Drosophila melanogaster: one gene and its partner. The protein of the gene in region 2 interacts with the protein of the main gene of each other region in a pairwise test. Each region holds a gene or a part of one and is shown on either strand. Other genes may lie near its edges.

Evidence for each region.
Region 1: the proteins of CAP (region 2) and RnpS1 interact in a two-hybrid assay, tested with the Drosophila melanogaster proteins (one large-scale study listed by BioGRID).

What each region holds. Positions count from the first base shown.
Region 1 is NT_033777.3:9,550,286-9,554,040, forward strand, and holds RnpS1 (RNA-binding protein S1), read left to right. Parts: upstream 1-1,748; 5' UTR 1,749-1,897; coding exon 1,898-1,899; intron 1,900-1,975; coding exon 1,976-2,137; intron 2,138-2,405; coding exon 2,406-3,366; 3' UTR 3,367-3,462; downstream 3,463-3,755. Other genes in the region: CG9386 (uncharacterized protein), read right to left, coding at 3,478-3,755.
Region 2 is NT_033778.4:10,277,056-10,280,810, reverse strand, and holds the start of CAP (CAP), read right to left. Parts: upstream 2,076-3,755; 5' UTR 1,471-2,075; coding exon 1-1,470.

The DNA.
Region 1 (3,755 bases), on a different chromosome or scaffold from region 2:
CCCCAAAGATATTCTCCGCAATTATATAGTGATATATTCTTAGCATAAGAAGTTCTTTTTCTTTTCATAACATAAATTTCGATGCTTTTAAAATGGAAGCACTAAGATTTTGGAAGCACCCTCTTCGTATAACGACTGTGTCACGGCATAAAACCCCTCTTTGATCAGGGTATTTGTGGTAAATATTATTATAAAGATAAGATAAGTGCATTTCTAAACATAGATTATAAGACTTAATGCAGCGATAACATATACTTATGTATGTATGTATGTATATAAAGAGCGACCTCTTCGGTGCTCTCCTTCAACATTGTAAATAGACTACATTTCCGTAATTTAACTATTATTTTGACCACAAATGTGTGTGCGCGTTCTTCTATGCATACTTGGGCAGGGTCGGTGTTCGAGTTGGGGTCACACTACGCCCTCTCAAAATTAAAACAATAAATTATAAAAAATATACGCATATACACACAAGGAAGCAGGCATCAAAATATTCGCTTTTTCCATGGAGTCCGGACCCCAACACACATACACACTCACACCGATGCACAAAGAAACCGAGAGAGGGAGAGCAGAGAGCGGCACTGAGAGCACGTGAGAGGACCCACCTACTGTGCATACATGTGTCTGTTGGCAGCTCCTATTGTTGTTGCTATTGCGTAGTCATGACAGTCAACTTCATCGAATGCTCTTTTTCGCTTTTCTTAGTTTCGTTTTCTTTACACACATTGATTATATGAATATATGGATATGTATACCAACGAAACTCTTGTTGGCTAGCTGGTTTTTGGCAATTACGCTGCGCTGTGGCGTTTCAAAACACGATGATGGGGCTAAAAAAATGTGCCTTTGAGGTATAGACACTGGTTAATTTGCATTGACTGCTGCCACAACATAACTGCACTTTGCACTCACACACACACTAAGATATGTTTTTCAACGCAAAGCATTCGGGGCGGGGTTTTAATATTGCTATTGAGCTACAGGCAGAGTAATCCGAAATATTAAGAATAATAATACTACACACCAGACGCGGAGCTCCCGACTCGACGGCAGACAAAGACGCAGTGTGGTAAAATGTGCCCAGACCAGACGGGGCGCTCCTCTCTCTCACACTCTCTTTCTCTCTCTCGTTTCCGCTGCGAGTGTAGATATATGGATGGAAAATCGAAACTCTGTGGCTGTGGCCAGCCCCCGCGGCCCCCTTTTGCTATCTCGCTTGCTCGCATGGACAAAATCAACACAAGTTCACACACATACAGGCACACGGATGTGAACTCACAATGACAACCACTTCGTCACCAGCAGATAAAAAAGTGCTGGCCTTAAATCAATTGCGTTTTATGTAATTCCACTACATTCGTACGTTACGAAAACAAGCACTATTCATATTACACGGTATACATTATTACTTCCTATCGAGTCCAAATTGCTAGGCAGGAAAGGTCTTAAATTTTTACGCTTTATGGGAGTTTACCTTGGGTTCGACCTGACAAAGAGTGTGGCCGCGGCGAGACTGTGAGAAATTACCAAGTGGTGTCTGTTATCTTAATCCCAAATACTCTAGAAACATTTGTATACTAGAATTTGAGATTTAAGCATATTATAAAAGAAATTTATTTATATTTAACTAAAAATGCTTCTTAATATTCGCAAAACAGTTTTTTAATAGCAAAGTAAAGGAACTGGATTTTATTTTAATAAGTGTGTATTCTATTTTTTTGTCATATTTACACGTTCACAAACACGGCCACACTAATCTCCACTGAAAACGCTACTCGCATTTAACTCTAGTTGAGAAAAACAAGATTTATTAATAAAAACATTTTAGCTTGCACCTAAAAGAGTGTGCGGTACTATAAAACTAATCGTTTAACAAATCGGCAATACGAAAATGTAAGTATCTGCACCACATTTTGCTCCCTAAATGGTCTAAAACAGCTCGCTTTTCTCGACAAATAAAAAAAAACAGGGCGCGTGCCCAGAGTCTCGCCGGCGAGGGTGAGAAGGAAAAGGACAACAAGGAGAAGGTCGCCAAAGAGAAGGACGGCAAGGCGACCAGCGGCTCCTCGCGCAGGGACCGCGAACGCAAACGCCGCGGATCGGCGTCCTCCAGCAGCGACTCCAGAAGCAGGTAAATCAGCCGGCAAAGGTCTTTCCCACAAATGGCTGCCATCTGCCAACCGGAATAAGGGTTACTTTTAAAAGGAAGTCCTTCTTCTTCTGTAAAACGTAGCAGATAGTACGGGAAGAAAATAGCCTTCGAGCGAAAAGATTTTGTAAAAATTCACATACCATATATGGTAAAATTTCATCACAGTTAGGAAGTGTTTTACTTTGTACCAGCTTCATTGCCGTTTTCTTGGTTACGAGAAGTAAATAAAACACTTCACTTTTTCCAGCACATCGGACAGCAGCTCTTCGCGGAGCAGTTCCGGGTCATCGCGTTCCAGCTCAAGCAGCTCCAGCGACTCCTCGAGCTCCTCATCATCGTCGTCCAGCGATTCGGATCGCAGCGAGAAGAACCGAAGACGTGGCGGCGGCGCTGCTGGCAAAGACAAAGACAAGGATAAGCCCAGCGCCCGATCACGTTCCCGCTCTCGCACCCGTTCCCCCAGGCGTGTCTCCAAATCTCCAAGACCGGGCAGCAAGGCGCGAAAAGAGCCGGAGCGAGATCGCGATCGTCGTAGTCGGTCGAGGGATCGTGCCCGCCGTGCTGGATCCAACGATAGGGCAGCCGCCGATAGCAATAATGTTAAGCGGGAGCGTTCTCGCTCAGCCAGTCGTTCACGATCGCCACGCCGTCGTGGTCGCGGCTCCGTTGAGAGGACGCCGCCACCGAAGCGAAGGGAGCGCTCCCGTTCGCGGACTCGCTCGCCTTCGCCCAAACAGGTGCGCATTCATGTCGGTCGGCTTACCCGCAACGTTACCAAGGACCATGTGTTCGAGATATTTAGCAGCTTTGGGGATGTGAAGAATGTGGAGTTTCCCGTAGATCGTTTTCATCCTAACTTCGGACGCGGCGTGGCGTTTGTGGAATATGCCACACCCGAGGATTGTGAGTCGGCCATGAAGCATATGGATGGCGGGCAGATAGATGGCCAGGAGATTACGGTATCCCCGGTTGTCTTAGTAAAACAGAGGCCGCCCATGCGTCGTCCTTCGCCACCGATGCGCCGTCCGCAAAACAACCGCTGGCGATCCCCACCCCAGTTCAATAGGTTCAACAATCGTGGAGGAGGTGGTGGCGGCGGCGGCGGACGTCGTCAGTCACCCATGAGGAACCGGCGTTCACCACGGCGTCGCTCCCGCTCCCCCATTCGTCGTCGACGCCGCAGCAATAGCAGTGACAGCTCTCGTTAGAGGACACTGATCGACTCCTAGTTTCTACAATTGACACGATTATTGCACTTTTCTTTATATTATAATCCAAATAATAAAGGTGAGCAAATACCACACACATAGAGAGTTAGCTTAGTGTATAAACGAGCACTCAGCATCATCGAGAGGACATCCCAGCGGATGATGAAGCTTGAAAAAGCAGCTACGTTTCTTGATGGTCAAATGGGATTTGGGGAGAGTAGCCGTTGGTTTAGGGGTTCTTATTCCTATGAGATCACCACCGCAGAATTCGAAAACTTCGTGTTTATTGCGCAGCAATGTTTTGATGCCGCCGCACTCGGATTTAATGCCACTCAGCTCCTCCTTGGTGAGAGCCTGGGCAATCTCTCTCATGGGCAGACGACCAGACC
Region 2 (3,755 bases):
TACTTCGCATACCAGCGGCGACTGCAGGGAATTGAATTCCCCGGAGCTGAAGTCGCTGTTCAGTTCCATTTCCTGGATTTGCACATTGCGCGAGAAGTTCGAAAACTGGCCACTTGACACGTTCTTCGGCGACTCCACCAAATAACGAGGTGGTGGAGATAGGGTTCCGGCCAGAGAACCGGTAGTGCTGCTAACCTCCTCGAAAGTGGGCTTGGCATTTTGCTCTTCGTCGGTGGTTTCCACGTGTATCTGGTGGATAATCACCTTGGAGGTGGGCTTCTGTGGAGGAGGCTGCTGGGAATAAGGATCTTCTGTTTGAAACTGAACTTTTATTGTTACTTCCTTTGGGGATTTCGGTGCAGTGTCATCATTTTGCTGTTGGGCGTTATTCAAAATGGGTTCCTCTTTCACATCATGATGCAGTTGCTGTGCGAGGCCCTCTTCTCTCTTCTTCGGATCTACAAGGATTTGTGGAACTGCAATATTTTGCTGATGCGCTTTAGTTGATTCCTGTAGGTGCTGTGCTTCATTTTGCTCCTGCTGCTGTGCATTTTGCTCAGTGTCTCTCTGTTTTTGATAACTTTGCACGGCAGCAACGTGTTGCTGATGTGCATTTTCCACAAATTCCATTGCCTTTTCGAGTTGCAACACATATTGCTCCGGTTCCTTTGAATCGTGTTGCTCTTGCTGTGGATTATTGTCAGTGGTCTCATCCTTTGAGTAGTCCACTTCATCATAAACTTGTTGATTCTCTTCAACTTCGACATGTTTCTGCTGTGCGTCCTCCGAAAGATGACTAGATTCAGGAAGTTCCTTTGGACTCGGTTCATTTTCCCGTTCTTCCTTAGTTTCAATCTCCTGCTGAGCTTCAGGTTTCTCCTTCTTTGAATCCTCGACCTCCATGTGCTGCTCCTTAGATTCCACGGCTTTGGGTGGCTCTGGAGATTGAGCTTTGCCATTGGCCGTGTCCTCTTCCCTCACAATTCGATGAACTATGACCTTGGCTTGCCGGGGGCTACCGGGTGGCCTTCTTATAATGGTGGGAGGTGGACGCACCTGCTCTTCAGATTTTCCATTAGACGCCTGCTTATCGGACTTTTCCTTGCGATGTTTTGAGTTTTTGGCACCCATTTCTGCGTCTGAATCTGCTTCTTTTTGGATGACTGTTGCTGGTTGCTCGAATATTTCTTCTTTTTTTTCGGTTTTCTCAAGAGTGTTCGTCACCTCTTCGCTGTTTTCCGTTGGCCCATTTGAAACGCTGCCAGAATTTCCATTATCATCTACGAAGGAAGAAGATTGCGCTACTGCGATCTGAGTTTGGAAATCCTGCTGCTCCTCCCGATCCTCCGCCCCTTCTGCCTGCTGCTGATGGTTTTCGTTTTGGTTTTGGCTCGGATTCTGATTTTGATTTTGGTTTCGATTGCGTTTGTTGCGATTGCGATTGCGATTACGATTGCGGTTATTGGGCATCGTCTACGGCACTTTCGCTCGATCTGAACTAATGCAGTTTTCCTTGTGTGTGAGATATATATGTGTTTTTGTGTGTAAGTGAGTACTTCGTGTTTCGTGTTTCTTAATCAGCCAGAATCTACAGTACAACTAAGTGTTGTTTCGTTTTTCGGTGTCGTTTATTTCTAGTTCCCTCTGTGTGTGTCACTCGTCGCCAGAAACTCAAACAGAACTGAACTGAGAACCAGAACCGAGAGCCGGCGGCATTCTGCTCGCGACGACAGCCGGCAAAATCGAAAAAAAAAAGAAAATAAAAAAATAAAACAGCGACGTCGCTGCCGCTGCCGGCGTCTACGCCGCCCCGCCCACCGCCCACCGCCTGGCACGCGTCCGAAATCGTTATGTTTTTAGGTTTATTTTTCGCCGCCGAGATCGCGCCTTTGTCTCCGATTGCCTCGATATTTTTTCGCCAAATTAAATTGCGTTTTGAATACTAAACTTTCGCTCTCGTTTTGGGGGTATGTTCGATTTGAGCAACGGGGACACGGGGTGAAAAGTTTTTTAAATATTTTTTAAGATCGCGCTTCCCGTTCCTCGTGGCGCTGGCGACCGACGGACAAGGAATGGGCCGTGGGCTTTCCACGATCTCAGCCGGGAGCTAGCTCCCCAGTCTCCCACTCACACACATTTTTACAGACAGCCCGATTCGGATGCACAGTGGCAAGTATTTGAAAATATACACACAAAAAGGAAAATCGGGGAATTCATAACGATGCTCATGTTCACAATACATACATGTACGTAGAAAACAGAAAGTCGTACGGGAGAGCGGGAGAGAAATGTGCAAAACCAAAACAGAATCAGAATCAGAATGCAGGGTATTCCAAAGACATCAAAATACCAAAGAGACCGAAAAAAAAAACAACAATATGACTTCTAGGTCAATGCAATTTTCACAAGCCAAACAAACTCATAAAATCCGAGATGAGCAGAAAAGAAACGCACGGCTCGAAAATATATTCGGCACATTCATAAATATTAGAAAATGTTTTTGGAACACGTACATAATTTGTTTGTGGAATTTAAGCTAACGAATATATGCTTTCGAAAATAAATTTTTTTAAATGTCACAAACACATTTTTGTCTTGAATTTCGGTTGATAAATGCTCAGGAATGAAAGATGTAAGACATTAAGAGAAAATAAAGAATTTAGAGGTCAAATGAAATCAGATAAACCGTTTTCCAACCACTTAAATTGTTTAATTTTTTAAGTGGTTGATCTAAAAAACTTTCGTGCAATATACCCAAAATGGCTCAATGCAGGGCATTAAGAAGAGAACTCAATACGGAAATAGTTTGCCACAGTTCGAGTTTGCTTATATGTATCTTCTGGCCGATGTGTGTGCTTGTGTATCTGATGAGTCTGCGCTGGCTGTGTATCTATATACAACTTATGGCATTTTAAAGATATTTTTCGTGCGTAATTTCTTTGCTTTTTGTGGTCACAAGTCTCTGTTTTCGGTGTACTCTTGAATAATTGAAGCAACATATATCCACGCGCATATATGTATGTATAGCTCTCCCATGTATCATCCCAGTGGGCCATGCGGTTAGTAGTATTCCGCTTTTATTTTTAAAGGTACTTAATGGCTTTCAATTTCTCTTGTTCTGTCTGGCCCACAGCCCCATCATCTCCATTAACTTCCTCCGACCAGAACCAATCCGAACTGAAGTATCTTCGCGGGTCTGTCAGGTGCCAGACGAACCAGACACGTGATGTGGTGGTTTTGGCCCGGGCATTATGCAATTTCTGCACAGTGTGACAGACACGGGTATACCAATTAGGGAATACTAAACGATCGCTTTCCCCTCCTCAGAAACCCACTCACTTAATGTGTATTCTCAATTGGTTTCGGTTTCCGTTTGGATTTCGTTTGGGCCCCACCAAGTTGCCTGAATCACTGACGTACGACGAACATCCAAGTAGCCGCTATCTATATCTGTGGATCCATTGTAGCGGCTTCTATTTTCAGTTTTCTTGCCCCGTAATATCAACAAATTTGAAATTGATTTCTACGCCTCGCCCAATTTGCTGTAGAACAGCACACATTTTAGTTATCTTTTCTGGGCTATCGCTGATAAATTTTGCATTTTTGATAAAGAACGTGAGTTGTGTGCGAAAAGTTTTGCTTTCAATGAAAGTGGTTTTTGTGGAATCAAATGCAGCTAGCAAGATAACTTCTTGGGAAATTACTAAAGATTGAACTGTGATATCTAAAGATGGATAGAGGGGTCATCAAAAGAA